3 linked regions of the Alligator mississippiensis genome follow. The protein of the gene in region 1 binds, or shares a complex with, the protein of each later gene. Links are inferred from orthologs where the notes say so. Each region holds a gene or a part of one and is shown on either strand. Other genes may lie near its edges.

Region 1 (7,315 bases):
TGTATCATTCCTTTTAATGGAAGTGCCAATATAATATGCTCTTCAGGAACCCAAATAAATAACTTGCATGATGCCAATGAGCCCAAAATATATACAGGAATTACTTTGCTTGTTCCTGAAATGCAACAAACTCTGGAGTGGAACAGAGGTGTTTTATCTGTGCTCAAAAAAACTGAAAGATTTACTCAGAGAGGTGTAGAAAAATTCTGCATCTGGTTGAAAATGCAGACACACAGTCCAGGTAGGTGGCATGTCATTACCCACTTTGGAATCTGACTAGGAAATCATCTTGTCCTGGATATGGGGCCATAGGATCACATGTTTGGTTTCTTTGGGGTTTCAAATAACATCTGTCAAAGCAACTCTTAGCACCTATTTGCTTTCTTGACAGAATGTGAAGACTTCAGGCCTGATTCTCAGGAAATCATCCACCGAAGTCCATGAAACTAGGGTGAGGAGAGTCGAGTTCTATCTACAAGTTTTCCCCAGGCTGCTGCATCTGTGTCTCCCCTACCACCCTATCAACTGTCCCTTTTCTACTAAAATCCTACTGGAAAGTTAGGTAAGAATAGTACCCTTAGACCTAGAGGTAGACAAAGGGGCATGCTGCCTAAAGAGCCTCTAGAGTGCTTAGATTAGCACACACCCCACTGATTTACCTGGCTCTCCCGAAGGGAGGGGAGGGCGAGCTGCCAGCAGGCAGAGCGGTCCCTGTGCTGTGTGTGCATTGGGGAGAGGGCTGGTGCTTCCCTCCACAGCAGGGGTGGCTCCCCGGCTTCCCACCCCCACCAGGTGGCAGTCCCGGGGGGCACCGCAGCCAGGGAGGAAAGCACCAGGCCCCTGCAGCTCAGCCAGGCAGGCGGGCTCCAGGAGTGGGGAAAAAATAAGATCAGGCTCACCGGGCTGCTGCCAGGCTGCCTGCAGGGCTTCCTACAGAGCTGTGGAACTGCATGGAGCCCAGTGCTTTGCTCCATGGTTGTAGGGGCAGCAAACTAAAACTCCTTCGAGGAGTTTTAGTTTGCTGCGCCCCAAGTCATTTAAGGCATATTACACCACCAAATTTCCTACAGCAGCTAGAATTCACGTTCAATACACTGCCGAGGCATGCAAACACCGACACCATTAAAGCGATGCAAAAGCATTTAGCCGGCTTTAAAGTGTTATGCACACACGGCTCCTCCCAGCCCTGGGACTCCTCCTGAACCTCCTCCCAGCTCCTCAGCAGCCCTAGTAGAACAAGAAGCATAGACAGCCACCAGAAGCATAGACAATCCCCAACATTAAGCGTTAAGTTCCTCTCCCTCTAAAAATACCTCTGCTTGAGAGTAGGGAGGAGGAATTGGGACCTCAGGAACCTAGCGCAAAGTTGCAAGAAGTGCAGTCATTTCCTGAGAATTACTAGCCAGGAGAAGAGAATCCAATATCTCCTGGCCCTGAGTGGAGGAGGGGGAAGTTTGGTCCAGCAGGAAGAGTAAAAAGGCAGGCTTGCCAAGTGATCCAGGACTTTGAGAACTGGTGTTCAGCTCTTTGCTGCATGACCTTGGCTCTGGCACCTAGGCTAAGATCCTGCAAAGGAAACAAGGTGCCTAGGTCCTGCTCCACGAGGGAGTTTGGCTTAGTTTCCTTGAGGATCTCAATTTAGTCTCACTGGCCCTCTAGCTATTGCCATGGCAGGACTTCCCGGCCCATGGGGGTGGGAGGCTAATTATGTCATTGGGGAAAGAGGAGTCAAACAGACATCTTGCGCTGTAAGGGGTCCTGGCTCCATACCACGTGCTTTCTGAGATAGCAACTTCCCTTCCCTGTGTTCTGCTCTCCCTTAAGCAAAACCAAGCTGATAATCCTGATGAAAGCTCTTGGGGAGAGCAGTGGTTGAGCCTATCATCAGCAAAGGGCTTAGCAAGCCTCAGGGAATGGGCTGGTACACAGCTGAGCATCGCTCGGGGGTCCCATACAAATCTACGGAGGCACTCACCTGGGCTGAAATGCCTGGAAAGCCATGCGTTAGAGCCTCAGCCTTCGTGTTTGAAAGAGACGAGTTGCTATGGAAATCTAACTGGGGCTGGACAATCAGATTTTAAAAGACGTTGGCAGGACATCATTTTTCCTCAGTTGAAGAGGCAGGAAAAGGGTCAGGGCCTGTGGGCAAGCGTCAGACTATCGGCATGAATAAATCAAAGAGCACTGACCTTCTGTTTACCTGTCAAGAGTCCTTTGCACCCCTGTGTTGTTCCAGATCACAAGGATTGGCAGGAGCAGGATTGGAAAGGATTAGGATCCATCCTGCCCATGCTACATGCTGCCACACAAGACTTTTATCAGAAACAATGCGTTGCATCAAAGACAAAACCCATAGCATCAGGTAGTTGTTGCAACAGGGTGTAGGGGGAGGACTCCCCAGTTTTTGGAGTATAAGGGATTGACTTCAGTTCAATTACACCCACAGTGGAAGTGCTCAGAAGGGAGGTCCGAGTGGTCACTTGCAGTTAGGTGCAGGGCAGGCTGTCCCCCTGCTCAAAGCAACATGACTGAACTAAACCTCCAGGAAGGTTTCCCATTCACTCCTGTGCAGTTTCTGGCACACTTACTCACCTTGACTTCTCATTACTAATTTAAAAAAAAAAAATCTTGCTGACTGGTTGGTTTTCCTCCTGCTGAATCATCCCAGCAGGTACATTTAAAACTGCCTTCCCTGGGGCTGGCTCCTTCAAGCCCAAAGCAATGCTTGTACAAAGTCTGTGTAGTGCCTGCAGGTGTCTGCCCTCTAGCCCTGCACTAGCACAGTGGTGGCAGCATTACTGCAGAAAATCTTAGAGGGCTTTCCTCACCAGGCAGGACAGCCCCAGATCCTAGTAGAGGAGATGCTGCCAGAAGAAAAATGCTACCGTCTAAGGGCCCAAACCTAGCTGTACCACGGCAGGCAGCATCGCCACCCAAGGGGTGCCACAGAGAGCTGGATGGTACCAGGGCAAGGCAGCAATATCTTGGCATAGCAAGGGGCAGCATTAGTACCCACTGCTTGAAGATAATGGAGTCGGGTCTCCCCTCTACCCATTTCTACCGGAAATTACTCAGTCCAAAAGTGCTGGGCAGATGCCTCCATCAGCTTTGTTTCAGAATCAATTTGGGAAATTATAGCAGGCCCAGGAACAGCAGGATTCAGGCGCAGAGACGGCTGGGCACTGACTTCATTCTGTGGGCAAGTGACAGGAGGCACACAGCCAGCACCCCCTGGGCCAGGTGCCCTCTCTGTGCCATGCTGCAGGCACACTTCCCAAGGCCTGCTGGAGAGGCGAGAGGGGCCCAATGGTTTTATAGATTTCATACATTCGAGCTGGAAGGGACCCTGGAGGATCATCGAGTCCAGACCCCTGCCCAAGGGGCAGGAAGTCAGCTAGGGCCAAAGGATCCCAGCAAGATAAGCATGCAAACGTTTCTTAAAAGAGTCCAGGGGAGGTGCTCGCACCACCTCCCGAGGGAGTCTGTTCCAGGCCCCGGGGGCTTGGACCATAAAGAAGTTTTTCCTTATGTCCAGTGTAAAACGGTCTTGGAGGAGTTCACAACCATTACAGCAGGACAGGAGAAAGCCAGGACTCTTGGCTGCGCTGCCCCAATGTATCCCCCCTCCCACTGCCGCAGCTCTTCAGAACGGGAAGGGGCAGCACCTGCCGGGGAGCGGATGTCCACGGCGGGGCTGGACCTCATCCTTGGAGCTCAGAGGGATGTAAAGGGCCTTGGGGACAGGTGATGCCCAGGCCCACCAAGAGGCTGGCAGGTGACCCCCTAGGTGCCTGGGGGCTTGCAACAGGCCTATATAATTCATCAGGGGAGGGCAGCAGGGAATAGGAGACCCGGATGGCCACAAAACCCACGGAGAGCAGCTTTAGCTTGGACATCAGGAAGAACTTCTTCACGGGCAGGGCAGGGTGGCCAGAGTCTGGGATGTGCTCCCAAGGGAGGTGGTGCTCGCCCCGACCTCTTCAAGAGGAGACTGGACAGGCACCTGGCCGGGTCCCGCCCGGGGCAGGGGGGCCGACTCCATGACCTACCAAGGACCCGAACATCTCTGACTGAGAGGGCAGGAGGCTGCGGGGCGGGCTTGCTCCAGGCCAGGGCAGGCAGGAGTCCTGCCGGCTGCCCTGAGGAGGGGCGGGCCGGTCTCGGGCGCTGCCCCAGCGGCTCCCGCCCCCTGCCCGGCCGGCGGCGGGGGCTCGGGGCGCGGGCCGGGGCCGGCGCGGGGCTCGGGGGAGGAGCGGCGCGGGGAGCTGCGCGGCGGCGGCGGCGGCGGGCGGATAAAAGCAGGCGGGGGCCGCGCCGCACCGCTCGTCAGCCCGACCCCTACCTCCGGGAGCGTGGCACGAGAAGCCGCAGGATGGTGCCCTGCACCCGGCCCGGCCTCTTCCTTCTCCTCCTCCTCCTCCAGGTAAGCTGCTCCCCGCGCTGACTTTCTTTCAGGAAGGAGCAAGCCCAGGCCGGGGCAGCCGGTGCGCTCGGCTCCCGGGATGCGCGCCGCCGTGGCCGGGGGCAAGGTCCGGGCGGCTTCTTGCCCTCCCCCGGCCGCCAGAGGAGACGGGCAGCGGGGGCGAGGCCGTCCCAGCTCTCCTGCCCCTGCCCCGCTCCTGTCCTCTCGCCCGGGCAGCCAGGAGAGCGGGCTGGGGGAGTCCTGGCTGCAATGAATGGGCGAGCAAGAGCTCGCAGCACATGACAGTTGGAAGAGACACCTCGTTCAACCCCTTGCCGCAAGCAGGACCGGCCCCAGCTAGATCATCCCACCCAAGTCCAAGTTCAGGTCTTACAAATCTCCGAGACTTGAGCGATTCCCCCCGTGTCTCTGCTCCAGTGCTTTGCTACCTACCCTCCTTGCCAGTCCCGTTGCTACATTCAAAGGCTTTCCGAGGAAAATGCCCTTTGGTTTCAAGTGCTTTGACTGCAACTTGAATCTTCCAGTTCTGTCAGCTGCAAATATCTGCGCTGGTTGGGCAAGGATTGTTTCCCCCCCTCCTGAAAAGTTTAGGGTTTCTGTTGAGAAAATGCACAGAGCCAAGGATTTTGGGGGAGTTGCCAAATACAGGGTCTTACTCAAATGCTGAACACTTTTTTTTTTTTTTTTTTTAAACGAAGGCAGAGATGGGCTTGAAAAATGTTGGCTCTTTGTTTTTAAAAAAATGAGTTGCCAAAGACATGTCAGTTCTGGAAGACTGAAGTGGTACTATCTGCATAGTTAAAATGACAGAAAATGCAGAGGTTCAAGCTCCCTTAGCACCTTTACTACCTTGTGTTTTGCATCTTGCGGGGATGTCTGAGGCTATCCATTTTACAACATGAACAAGAAGCAGCATTTAGCTGCATGTTTTTAACAGAAAAACACGGTAAAAAGCCCTACGTAAGGGCCAGTATTTGCCAGTAAGTGTTAACATTCGTATAACATCGCTTTTGGACGCTTCTTGACTTTGTTTCATTTGTCTTATCTGTTCATTTGTCTTATCTGTGTGGCTGAAATACTGCATTCATGGAGTTTTTCAAAATTAAATTCTATGGTGGTGGTTCTGCTTTCTGTTAATAAAATGATGGAGATTGCTGCTTGTGCATAGGGTATGCATGTCCATAATCTTGTATTTGGACCTTTTGTCTCCATTAAATAGGTGTATCCTTTCCCCATCCCTTCTTCCAAATACTAATTAATTTTGGCCAGAAGCCAGTCCTGCAGAATTTTATCCTGAGCATTTTGTTAAACTGAGATCAGTTAAAAATGGGCATATTAGGTACCAATATTTCTAGTACTGTCTGTGAAAATAGAGATGAGAGGAAACCAAGCTCACTGAGAAAATGATATATCAAGGCACCTCCATATCTAGGGTCTTGGTGGTTATCTGAACTGTACTGCACTTCAGATAACTTCCAATGGGCCACCCTAGACACTAGTTTTCTCTGCCCATTCGAGTGTGCACCTTCCATAGTTGCTATTGGGGATGGCCTCTCTGTGCAGAAAGACCAGGAGCTTGCTACCCTTGCCTAGTGTCTAGGTAGAGTTAACAGTTCTCTATGGTCTTCATGGCAAACCAGGCACATACGGCTGCTTGTGCTGCTCAAGTCTTTGCCAGGTTTGGGAAAAAAATATGTGACCCTCTTGCTCTGCAGCTGGGAGTAGTCTAGAACCACTTCTGATGGGGTCTCCTCAAGAGATACATGCCTGGTGCCACCTCCGTGGACTGAGTTTGAGTTCATCCAGACAAAAAAATACAACTGATACCGAATGACTGTATGACCAGTCTCACCTGCACTAACTAGCCCCACACCAGAAAACATAAAGGAAAGGTAAACACAGGAACAACTTGTAGATTAATTTAACAATTATTTGCTTTTAATTAAAACCTTGCTAGAAGTGCAGATGTTCCTGAGGCTCCATGAAAGCCACTGGGTACTTTCCTAGTACTCCCAGTCTTGCTTGGAAGTCACTCCATTACCATAGGCATAGGTGGCATTGAAGAAAACACAAAGAATGTGTCTGTGTTGTGGTAGGCATCCAGGTTGTAGCCATATTGTTCTAGAGGAAAAGGCAATCAGAACTCGTAGTAGAGATTTATATCTTTTATCACACAAACAAGATTTTTGCAAAAAAAAATTCTTTAATTGCAAGCTTTCGGGCACAAACACCATTCATCAGGCATTGGAGAAAAAACTGTAAAAGTTCTCTTGGGTAGAAATTAAAGTTCATATTTCATAGAGGACTCCATAGATGGAAAACTCCTCTGGGCAGTCAGTTCATAGCTGGTATGAAGCCTCTCGCCTCCTGTGAGGATCTGCAATGATGCAAATTACCTTGAAACAAAGGCTCAGGTTTCAGGTGGTCACAGTGGCTTCCTGCTTGGGAAAAGATGAAGATTTCATTTTTTATTTTTTTTTAATTGGCTAAAATTTGATATCTGTGTGTCGTATCCAGGTTGTAGCCATATTGGTCTAGAGGAAAAGGCAATCAGGACTCGTAGTAGAGATTATATGTTTTATAGATGAAATCTATATTTTTATATAATAGAGATGATATATAATATAGATTTTATCTATAAAACATCATCTGTACTGTAAGTCTTGATTGTCTATATTGTGGTTGCATCAACAGCTGCATGGCATGTGGTCACACACCCAGCTAGATTGAGAGGAGCTAACTCGGGTCCCTATCACAGTGTATGCACAGAAGCAAATTTCTCATCGTGAACTAATTTATCCCCCTTCCTGCATGAGTTTTGCAGTCTGCGTTAAGCTCTGTGCTGCTGTAGCTCGAATGTTACTGGTAACCAAGCCAGTTTAAAGCATTCTT
Region 2 (5,192 bases), on another chromosome or scaffold:
CTGCCCGCCCGCCGCTCCCTCCTCCCGGACCGCTGGGATGGGTTGGGCCGCCCCGCTCCGCCCCGGCCCACCCCGCACGCAGCCCGGCTGCTCCCGGCCGCCTCCGCAGACAATTACCGCCGCGCGCTGAGCAAACAGCCCCGAGCGCGGGCGCTGCCCGCAATTAGCGCCCGCCTGCCCCCGCCGCTGCCCCCGCCTGCCCCGCACGCGGTGACTCACGCAGCCTGGGACGGGGGGGAGCCCCTGCGGCCTCAGTCCCTCTTGTCCCCCCCCCGCCAGTTGCGGGGCGCTGCGGTGCCCGCTTAACCCCTTCCCGTCCAGTGAGGAGCAGCGCGGCGCGGCAGAGGCAGGGAAGGCAGTGACACACCCGAGCCGCGCAAAGTCCAGGCCCCGCCCGCGCTGCTGCCCGGCGGGGGGTCGTACTCGGACCGCGGCTCCTCGTCCCGCGCCGCCTAATCCTCGCCCCCACGGCCCGGCCCCAGCACTGCGCCCACCCCACGCAGACTTCCAGACACGGGGGGTTTCCAACACGTTTTATTAGAAAATCGCGGCGTCTCCGCGGCTCCAGCCCAGCCCCGGCCCCGGCGCGGGGGAGGCAAGGGGCGCGGGCCCCGCTCCCGGGACGCTGCGGGCGGCGGGCACGTCCCCTCGCTGTGCGTGGGCCCTGTAGGCCGGGCGGCGCCGCTACTTGCCGACGGCGTCGAGGACCAGGCGGTTCTGCTCGGCCTGGGCGCGCTGGCTCTGCGTCCGCGCCAGGCGCAACATGTGCCGCAGCAGGTGGAAGGTCAGGTCGATGGAGAGCGGCGGCTCCTCGCGCCGCGTCCGCCCAGGCCCTGGCCCTGGCCCTGGCCCCGGCTCCCGCTCCCGGCCCGAGTCCCCATGGGCAGCGCCGTCGGGGGGCAGCAGCGCCAGCAGCAGCAGCAGCGACGGCAACAGCAGCGCCAGCAGTGCCTGCCTCATGCTGGGGACGGCCGGGACCTGCGGACACGGCGGCGTTAGGCGCAGCAGGCGGGTGGCGGGCAGCTTCCCGGAGCGGCGGCCCCAGGCCCCACCTGAAGTTGCCCGGCGGGCGCAGGGCACGGGACACCGAGTGGCTGACTCTCGCCCCCCGCCTCCCGCCGGGGCGCCCAGCCCCGCAAGCTCCCCGCCGGGCGCCGGGACTCGGTGCCGCTGCCCCGGGAGCCGCAGCCCAGCCCGCCCCTCCCGCGCCGCTCCGGCCGACCCTACCTGGAGACCTGGAGCGCGGAGCGGGTCCGGCCGGCGGCGGGGATGCGGCGCGGCGCGGGGCGGCGACGGGCGGGAGGCTTTTATAGCGCCGGGAGCTCCCGTTGACGTCAGTGCGGGACGGCCGCGGAGTCGAGCGGTGGCGGGAGCCCGGGGTCCGGCCGGGCGTGGCCGGGCGCTGCCGCCGGGGACCCCCTCCCCGGGCGCAGGGGCAGGCTTTGCCCTGCGCCCTATGAGCCGTTCCACGTGGCTGTCGGGGCCCCGGGGGCGCAGGAAGGGCAGCGCCCGGGGGCGGCGGCCTCGAGGAGATGCCCCCGTAGGCCCCTGCACCCCTCCGTACTGACCCCGCCCCGCCCCGCCCCGGCCCCGGCGCTCTCCGCTGTCCGCGGTGCTGAAGTGTGCGAAGCGCGGCCTCCACCACCCCCCATCCCCTCTCGGCCCGGCCCCACCCCGGCCAGCACAGCTCCACCCCACGCCTGGCCTGGGTGCCCCCCTGTCCCCCCCCACGACTGGGGCTGCGCGGGGTGCGGTGCTGGACACCCGCCCAGTGGTCCGCAGCAGGCACGGAAGAAGGGACTCCCACGGCCACCCGCGCCCCAGCTGCGATGCCCTGAGCCCTGTCTTGCAGTGCCATGTCAGCTGGAACAGGGAGTGGGACACCTGCTTGGACCCGCCGTGTCCCCCTGTGCATGGTGCCTGGAGCTGAAGGGGACCAGGTCTCCAAAAGCCTTGGCAGCACCCAGCCCCTTCACTGCAGGTTCTGCATACGGTTCATGACACTCCCAGGGTGGACACAGGGACAGGAACCCAGCACTCATCCACCACATTTTATTGTCCCCAGTGGGGCTGTCTCAGCATAGCCCTGCATAGAGGGATGGAGGGGCGGGTGGGGCAGCACAGCTCCCTCCACAGCATGATTTGGGCTCAGTCAGGGCTGGGGCCAGGCCTGTGCTGGGGCAGTCGTGGTGCCACACCTTGGGCCCTGTGCTGCCTCTTTGATGAGTCTGGCTGGGGTGGACCTGCGATGGGGCTCCCAGCCCCTTCCATGCTGTGGACGACCCCTGAGGACCAGCACAGCATGGTGGGAGAGGGAGCGGGACCCAGGCCATGGGGTCACCGGAGAAGCATGGGCAGCCATGTGGGATGTGTTGGGGGCTCATGGCTGGTTCGCCTTCCAGGAGAGGTAGGAGTTCCAGATGATGGCAACGCACTGCACCACGGCTAGCCTGAGGGCAGACAAGAGGGACCAAGAGGTCAGAGTAGGGCAGTCCTGTGTCAGATCAGCAAACTGGGGTCCTGGGGAAGCCAGCCCATGCAGGGAGGGGAGCTGGTGGGGAAGGGTCCAGACTCCTGCCCTGATGTTCCAAGGGTCAGGGTCCCTCTCCCCAGCCCAGGCAACAGTCCAGGCTCCCAGTGGGACAAGCCCAAGCCACCCCCACTCTCAGGATGTAACATCTCCCTGGGGCAGGGGCAGGAGGGGGTACAGTAGGTGCCAGGACACCACCCTCCCCCCATGTAGGCTAGAGCACAGGGCTTGGGGCATGGTTTGGGGGGTCCAAGGAGCAACAGCACTATGACAGGGTCATAGTGCCGGAGGCCAGGGGCACAGGGGCAACTGGGAAGTGCTGGGCCAGTAGAAGGAGGGGCAGTTGTGGGGGGACTTGCACGGGGTACAAGGCATGCTGGGGTCTTTGGGCTGGGTAGGGGAGCTGGATGTGTGGGGGTTGTTCTGCCTGGAGGCCTGGACAGGGCCAGGGGGTGCAGGAAGGGGAAGGCACCTGGGCTAGGAGGGTGCTGGACCAGCAGGGGGAGGGTGCAGTGTGACCTGCTCATACCTGTAGTTCAGGGGGATGAAGTAGAAGTTGGCAACCTGCACTGCCGGCCAGATCTGGGAGACAGGCATAGCGGGTGAGGAGTACAGAGGCCTTCACCCTACCTGGGGCAGGGCAGGGCTGCCGCCACATACCCTTCCCCTCCTGCCCATTTCCCCCACCCCAGCACTGGCTCCTACCCCACCTCCCTGGACCCCCCACCGGATTTGGGTAAAGCCCACTGCAAGCTTCTGCTGGGAGTCCAGTGATAGGGGCAGTGGGCAGGAGGCCCACTGGGGGCCAGGGCGGGTGGGGAGTTCTGGCTGCCTAAGCATGAGCCCCAAGGTGGGCTGGGCCTTGCATGTGACAGCGCAGGGGGTGCACTGCCAGCCCACTGGAAACCAGCGTGCATCAGTGGGGGCACAGCTTTCAGTCTCCTGCTGTGCAGATCTAAGCACTTGTTCCATGATCACCTGGGCGCAACCCCCCTCCCCTCCCCCAGGCACTTACATAGTAGTTGGTGACAAGGGTATCAGCATAGTCCTGCAGGCAGAGAAGGGCTGGTCAGTGCTCACGTGGCCCCTTGGGCAAGCCCTGCCCCCCTTGGGCCCAAGGCCAGGGGCCTGCAGAGGTCATGTGGGGGATGAGGGCTCCTGCTATGGCCCCCAATGAATGGCTGCTTAAGATGTGGCTGCAGCTGCCACACAGCCTGTGGCAAGCAAAGCGCTCCCCACCCCCTGTGCTGTGTGGGCCAAGCCCCCAGCTCTCGGTACCCAGGTCTGGATTCTGGATGGGGGTGTAAGAGCCATGGGCAGGAACGGGTCATTCCCAAGTACCTGGCACCTGGGGGCCATGATTAGACCTGGGTGCGGGGGATGCCCTGCCCTGAAGTCCCCTGTCCAGCCCAGCACAGCCCAGCCCCAGAGGGTCATGCCCCAGGGCAGAGGGTAAAGATGGACCGCCCTGGCCCTGCAACCCCTATGCGAGGCAGGCCATCTGCCTGCAGGTTTGGCTGCTCTGTGCAGCAGGCAGGACCTCAGCTCCCCCACTCTGCCAACGAGTGCCTGTAGGAGTGGCAGGCCCCCCTGGGGACATGGGGACTCTGCCCACAGCTCTCAGTGGACAAGTGCCCTGGGCAGCTGTGCTCGCTAGCCTGCAGCCAGCCAGGGCGCTGATGTCCATTGCCTGCCTGCTGCAGCAGCCAAGGGGGGATGCTGTCCTGGCAGGGCAGGTTGGGGGCAGTCCACTCCACTGGGGGGTGCTGGGCTGTAGGGCGCAGGCAGGGAGACCCACTCTCCCGCCATGCCAGGAAGGACAGACACTGTTGGCCCTATGACTCACACCAGGGTCACCTGTTCCCGCCGTGAATCACACCCAGACTCACTGACTCAGCCGCTTGCGTTGGTTTTGGGAGACCTGGAGGCCTGAGCCATCACACTAATGGCTTTGGCAGAGGCAGCCAATAGCAGTGCCTGGCGCACCCTCACCCATGGGACCAATGCCCAGTACCTGTCCCTGCTGCTATGGGGCCAAGGGATGCCCCTGCTGAGCCTCCCCATTACCCCCACTGGGGCCTTCCCTGCACTATGGGGACGGGGCCTCCTAGTCCGCATTGCCAAGGTCAGGGAAAGACCCTGCAGTGGTCAGGCTGCCTCTACAGAGGACAGGGATGGACAGGGCACTGCGGCCACTCTGCCTCAGCACCTGTGGGACTGAATGAAAAGGGGCTGGGCCCAGCCCTTTGCCCCCAGCACAGCCCCAGGGACTCACTCGCTGGATCTTTTCCCAGTTCTCTTTTGCAGACAGACTGTTGACCGCACCGGCGACGGCAAGGAAGCTGCCGAGGAAGATCGGGGCGAAGCCAGCCTGTGGAGGAAGTGGGTGAGTGCCACAGGGCAGGGCTGGCCCAGAGCATCCCTGTGCCCTGGCCCCACCCCCTGCAGACGGGTAATGGGGATCCGTGGAGCACTGCAGTGGGGGGAGTGAGGGGATGGGTCCAGGCTGCCTCAGGCTAAGCACATGTGGCTCATCAGCCCTAGCAGAGTTGCTTGCACTGGTTTTGGGGGCCCTGAGGCCTGAGCCATCACAGAAGTGGTTTTGGGAGAGGCAGTTCAACAGCAGTGCCTGATGCACCCTCACCCATGGGACCAGCGTCCA
Region 3 (5,941 bases), on another chromosome or scaffold:
TTGCAGCCTGCTGCCCCATGCCCCAGCGGGGCGATCCACGTCCTTGGGGCCGTCAGGGCACTGCCCCCTGGGCACACACGGGGTGGGGTGAGGAGTCCTTCCTTCTCGGGCCCGTTTGGGGCAGAACAGCAGGGCTGGACCCTGGCTGCATCGGGGCTCAGCTGGAGGCAGAGGCAGTGCCAGGAAGCTCCTTGGGCCGTGCCCGGGGGGTGGGTTGCGGCAGTAGGGTAGTGTCTGTAAAGTAAGCCCGGGGGTCTGCAGGACAAGGGGGGCCAGAGCCGGCTCCGACCCCAGCCCCGGCCCCGGCCCCGGCCCCAGCGGCAGCGCTGCACCGATGCCCTGCGCGGAGCTGCCCCCCGCCCCCCGGCTGCCCGCGGAGGAGGAGGAAGGCCAGGCAGGCGGAGCCACTTTGCAGCTTTTATTACAAATATAAATAGGCGCCCCAGGGCCGCAGCCGCGGGCGCTCCGGGACGCGCTCAGCCGCCGCGGACGGGGCGGGCGCGGGCCGGCGGGCGCCGCTCACTTCCCGATAATCTCCATGAGTTTCCTGTTGCTGTGGGCCTGCTGCGCCAGCTGCTCGGCCCGCGCCATCTCCAGCACCTCCCGCAGGAGGTGGAAAGTCAGGTCCAGCGAGATGGGCGGCTCGTCCGAGCGCTTCTCCCGGGCGGCGCCGCGCTCGGGCAACGCCTGCGGCCGCGGGGCAGGGGCTCGCAGCCAGGGGCCGGCGGCGGCGGGCGGCGCGGGGGAGGCCGGCCCGCGGCCCGGGCTGCCCAGACGCAGGACGTACTCCTCCGCCAGGCGGAGCAGCGCGGCCGGCCCCGGCCCCAGCGGCGGCGGCGGCGGCGGCGGGAGTAGCTCCTGCTGCGGCCGGGCGCGGCTCAGAGCTCTGCCGTCGCGGCAGGGCAGGAGAGCGAGCAGCAGGATCCCCGTGGACACCAGCAGCGGGATCCTCATGGTCAGCGCCCCGACCTGCAGCACACACGCGGGAGGGGAGCGGGGGGCGGCGGGCCGGGCGCTGGCCGCGGTGCTGAAGCCGGGCCCGGCCCCGCCGCAGCCGCCCACGCGCGGGGCTCGCGCCTTCCCCCCGCACAGCCTCCCCCCGCGCCCCGCCGCGGGTCCGCGCCCCGCCGCGGGGCAAGTCCCGGGCTAGGACATGACCACGCGGGGCGGCCTGGCCCCTAGGGTCCGCAGGCAAAGGAAACCCCCGGCCCAGCGCCTGGCTCTGCGGGCTCCTTGGCATCGCCTAGATCGCGCTCTCCCTCTCTCTCTCTCTCTCTCTCTCTCTCACACACACACACACACACACACACACACACACGTATACACACGCACACATATACATCCATACACACACATGCATGCACGTACACACATGCAAACACACACAGATACACATACGAACATACACACATACTTATACACATACACTTGCATGCACTACACATGCACACATACATATGCAAACACACGGATACACATGCGAACACACACATGAACATATATACACATACACATACATACGCATGCAGGCACATACCCATATATGCACATACACATAAGCAAACACACACGCCCAGGCTCTTGCCCCGCTTGCACCAGGGCAGGGTGGGGCCGACCTCCGCCTACCTGAGAGCTGGCCTGGCGGGTGAGGAGGACAGGTGCAGTCCACACTTGGGGGCTTTCAGGGGTCCTTTCCTTTCCCTCGTGCTCGGAGCCGTCTCTTCGCCAACTTGGGATCAGCTTTTCTCCCAATCAGAGCCTGGACGCGGGATTTTTATAGCTTAGACCCTCTTCTGGAATCACGCAGCACTTGCCTAATAAGCTGACGCTTCCTTGACAGCTCGATTGCGTGCCCCGATCCACTGCTGAATAAATCATGGGGGCCCGCGTGGAGCCGCGATGGGCAGAGTTTTGCTATCGCAGCCCGGAATCTCACATCCAATTATATCAACAGATATTTATCGCCTCGTTGGTGACGTCAGCCAGCCCCGGGACAGAGACAGCGGAGCGGGGCTCTCTCCCATTGACAAAAATACTTGAATGAGATTTCCCAAGGGGAGCGAAAAGCGGCAGCAGCGCCCGACCTCTTACTATGAAAGGTCAAAGCGAGGGAAAACTTTCCACTCGAGTCCCGCCTGGGCACGACTCTGGAGGCTGCCGCCCGGCCCCAGAGCCAGGCAAGGGCATGTAAGAGCCCTGGTCAATTTCGGGGCATCTAAAAGCCCTTCTAGGAGCCCTGGTCCATTTCAGGGCATCTAAGAGCGGGGACCTGATCAGTCCAGGTCCCAGCCTGAGCTGGGCGCTCCCAGCCCAAGCCGACTTGTAAGCAGGAGGTGCGAAGCTTTCTCTAGCACCAAGCCTTGGGACGGGCTGATTTTGTCCCAAGACACCCCGTCCCACCGAGACAGCGCTCCTCCGATGGCTCTAAGCGTGAAAACGCCTAAGAACCCCAATTCCTGGCAAGCCACAAGAAATAACCCAGCCCCTGGAAAAGCCAGGAGCAGGGGCTGAAATTTGTTCCACCGGTGTCTGAACAGGAGAGGTGGGAGATGTGAAGCTCCGTGGAGCAGCCGGCAGATCTCGCTGCTCCAGCCCCCCTTAGGTATAACACAGGGTCCACTTAGATTAGTGGGGCCGATGCGCTGGGAGCAGAAGTGAGATGCCCCTGGTGAGGCAGTGCTGTGCTTTGGGGAGATAACACATCTGGTCCCTTCCAGCTCTGGGACACACCAGAGACATGGGGCTGGGCTGAGTTGTCCTGGTGTTCTCGCTGGCAAGTGGCAACGGTGATGCTGCCGCTCCGGGACTCTCACTGTCAGGGACATCAGCAGGGAAACTGCCCTGGCATATGAAAGCGACCCGGGACTGGCAGCCCGGCAGCAGGCAGGAGGCTGAGACAGACGGCTCATTCAGAAAACTGGCAAATGCTGCACCTGCCTTTCGAGTCTCCCTGCCCCGTGTAGTGCGGATCCCTGCATTAACAGTGAGTCAGTGCAGCCCGCATGGAATGACAGCGGGATTTATAGGAAACTTCCGCACTTCCCTGCCCTTGTCTGTCTTCTCCCTAGTTGAAACAGAACATATCCCGAGTCGCCTCCTCTCTACCCCGTGCTGGCATTTTCCTGCTCAATAAATGTTGACAGCTCCACAAGCGCTTGGTTTTGCCGCCTAGAATGTAAAGCCCCGAGAATGAATGGCTGATAAAACGCATTCAATTGCCTCTTTTGGCAGTTGTCTAGATGGAAATGATCCTATTGTGTTTGATGATTCGCTTGTTTTACTGTGCAGTAATCAAAGGAGCTCTTCAAGCCTTCCCTACCCGGGCGAGCAGAACTCAGGCGGGCTCTTTGGGAAGGTTAGTGATCCAGGCCCGGGCACGGGCAAAAGAGGGGCTGCTGCCCACCCACAAGACAAAAGAGGAATGCATAGATTCATGGCCAGATAACAAAAAAAGAGGGGCTGGGGAGAGAGAGAAACGTCGCTGAACTTGCTGCAGTTGATTGACAGAAAGGGAGACGCGCTGCTCTTACTCGGGGATCCGTCCTTTTGGCTTGTAGTAATGGACTGCCAGTGAGAACAGCCTTGTTTTATGAGGTTAAGCAATTTACCGAGTTAGATTAATAGACAAAAAGAGGTCAGAAAATCTATCGCGTGCTCTAGGCAGCTACTGCATACGACGGTAACAGGGGGTCAGATGTAATCAAGACGCTCCCTCTACAAGTCACTTCAAGAGCAGTGTTGAAGCACTTCAGCACTGGACAGTGCTGGGCTCCACGCACGTGCGGGGCATCAGGTTCAGACCTCTGTTCCTTCAACCCCGGGGTAGAAAAGGAGACATGATTCTCTACCGGGAAAGTCTCTAAACTGAATGCATCTTCAGCTCGTGAAATTACAGGCGATATCAAGGGGCAATACAAACATATTAAAGAAACCCCTGCCTGTTGCAGAGAGCTTAAAAAAAAAACCCAGAACTGATCACTGGCTACAAAAAAAAAAAAGCTATTGACCAATATTTCCCCAGTTCCTTGCATGATCCTACAGGTACAGGCTTTTCTTGGCGAGGGATCTGAAATTCCTTTATAAAATCATCTCAAGTCCAATTCTGATGTCATTTACATGAATGGCATCTCCAGCGATCTCTTTCCTGCAGCCTCCATTTGAGGGAGAGTAGGGCTACAGGAAACTTAAATACAAGTGGCTAAATTATGTGAAGAATTCAACTGATCTCAGTGCATACCTGAGGGGAAACTTGCCCCAAGTTGAAGGCACTTAAGCAGGTGCTTTTCTGAATTAGGGATCTTATTTAACAAGGCAGGGAGGGAGTCATTAACAAGAACAGTGATGAAATGATCAAACATATCTGATTTGGAAATGGTTTAATTTTCCAGTTAGATATACATCCAGGAACACAAGACTGAAATGGAACTCCTGGATCATTCAACCCAGGTTGACTGCAGGCAACCATGTCATATAAACTTTTCCATAAACTGGTCAAGCTCTTGTTCCAGCCCCTAACTCCTCTGATGGCTATAAGTCTTCTTCATTCCAGCCTAAACTCATCCATCACTAGTTTATACCTATTTGTTTTTGTGATAGTATTGCCCCTTAAACAGGTCTTCTTCCCTGGTATTTTCTATCTTGAAATATTTAGAAGGAGCAACCATATCTCAGTTGAGGCTTGGCTATCCTTGGTTAAAACAAGCCAAATGCTCTTTGTGACCTTCTGTAAGACAGGCTCTCCATTTCCTTTCCTAGACCTTCCATTTGTGCTCATCTTTCTTGAAGAAGGGTGACCAGAATTCCAGATGAGTTCTTAGCTTGTACAATGGCACTCAGATTTCCCTGTCTCTATTGGAACTGTCTCATCTGATACATCTTTGGACTGAATTTGTCTTTTTCATAGTTGCCTTACATTGGTGGTTCATAGTCAGTTTGTGATCATCTAGTGTACCACATCTTTATTCTTTTTAGTTACTTCCAATCAATGAGCTCCAAGTGTATGTAAAAAAATCTAAACAGATCTAAACAGTTTAAAAATCTGTGTATTAGTGCTTAAATGTGTGACCTTGCACTTCATTCCATTTCTAATACACCAGTTTCCAAGATCATTCAGTTCATCCTATGCAATATCCCAACCCATGTTTGTATTGACAAACATGTCCCAAAAGATCAATCCCAAAACCACTCCATGGGGAACCCTACTAGTAACTTATGTATATCCCAATACTTTGTTTTTCAGGATAACCCATTATCATCATCCCTTTAGCCCATTCCCTATCTACTTTACAATTCTTCTGGTAATCCCCTACTACTTCAGTTTTAAATAATAATTTCACATGTGGCACTATATTAAATGTTCTGTTGAAATTCAGATAGATTTGATCAACGGTACTTCTTTTGTCTCAAAAGTATTTTTTTAAATAAAAGATAGATATTGGCTAAGTCTAGCTCCTTTGGTGCTACCTTTGGTAAATCCATGTTGCATTTTATCATTCAGGTCTTCAGTTATTCTTCCCAACAATACTTGTTTTAAAGCTTTACATACCATTGAGGTCCAACTAACGAACTTGTAGTTGTCTAGATAACTTCCTTCTCTTCTTTTTAAACATAGATACTACATTTGCTATTTTCCAGTCTCATGGTACCACTCCCAATTTTACCAGGCTTTCAAAACAATGTACACTTGATTTCATGCACAGATCTCTCTGAATTCTGGGATAGAATTTATCTGCTTCATCCCCACACCAGATTGAATGCTTTAACCCCTTTGAGTTTTGCTTTCACCTCAGCTAAGTAGTTTCCTTTTCTGTATCCCAATTGCCATTAGTTATCTCCCAACTCCGAGATCTCTTTCTGCTGCTGTGCTGCTGAGACGATCATCCCCAAGCCTATAGGTGTGCTGGTGATTCCCTCTCCCTAGCTGCAGCACCTTGCACTTGTC

Evidence for each region.
Region 2: the proteins of CRHR1 (region 1) and UCN are in contact, whole or in part, in a cryo-EM structure (PDB 6PB0), measured with the Homo sapiens proteins. The link is inferred for Alligator mississippiensis from reciprocal best matches to the Homo sapiens genes CRHR1 and UCN. Residues at the interface, in NP_004373.2 of Homo sapiens: Leu106, Asn107, Glu109, Lys113, His117, Val120, Asn123, Trp169, Val172, Gln173, Ser177, Pro178, His181, Gln182, Thr192, Tyr195, Asn196, His199, Phe203, Phe260, Gly261, Lys262, Pro264, Tyr270, Tyr272, Gln273, Met276, Ile277, Tyr327, Phe330; in NP_003344.1 of Homo sapiens: Asn84, Pro85, Ser86, Leu87, Ser88, Ile89, Asp90, Leu91, Thr92, Phe93, His94, Leu95, Leu96, Arg97, Leu99, Leu100, Glu101, Leu102, Ala103, Arg104, Thr105, Gln106, Gln108, Arg109.
Region 3: the proteins of CRHR1 (region 1) and CRH are in contact, whole or in part, in a cryo-EM structure (PDB 6P9X), measured with the Homo sapiens proteins. The link is inferred for Alligator mississippiensis from reciprocal best matches to the Homo sapiens genes CRHR1 and CRH. Residues at the interface, in NP_004373.2 of Homo sapiens: Lys113, Tyr116, His117, Ala119, Val120, Asn123, Trp169, Val172, Gln173, Met176, Ser177, Pro178, His181, Thr192, Tyr195, Asn196, His199, Phe203, Phe260, Gly261, Lys262, Tyr267, Tyr272, Gln273, Met276, Ile277, Leu280, Tyr327, Phe330, Phe331; in NP_000747.1 of Homo sapiens: Glu156, Pro157, Pro158, Ile159, Ser160, Leu161, Asp162, Leu163, Thr164, Phe165, His166, Leu167, Leu168, Arg169, Glu170, Leu172, Met174, Arg176.

Annotation. Positions count from the first base shown.
Region 1 is NC_081827.1:156,223,183-156,230,497, forward strand, and holds the start of CRHR1 (corticotropin-releasing factor receptor 1), read left to right. Parts: upstream 1-4,294; 5' UTR 4,295-4,372; coding exon 4,373-4,423; intron 4,424-7,315.
Region 2 is NC_081824.1:181,983-187,174, reverse strand, and holds UCN (urocortin), read right to left. Parts: upstream 973-5,192; 5' UTR 961-972; coding exon 685-960; 3' UTR 519-684; downstream 1-518. Other genes in the region: protein Mpv17, read right to left, coding at 2,381-2,450, 3,060-3,112, 3,546-3,578, 4,806-4,901. UniProt on the Homo sapiens protein: Acts in vitro to stimulate the secretion of adrenocorticotropic hormone (ACTH). Binds with high affinity to CRF receptor types 1, 2-alpha, and 2-beta. Plays a role in the establishment of normal hearing thresholds.
Region 3 is NC_081826.1:64,349,832-64,355,772, reverse strand, and holds CRH (corticoliberin), read right to left. Parts: upstream 979-5,941; 5' UTR 955-978; coding exon 520-954; 3' UTR 519-519; downstream 1-518. UniProt on the Homo sapiens protein: Hormone regulating the release of corticotropin from pituitary gland. Induces NLRP6 in intestinal epithelial cells, hence may influence gut microbiota profile.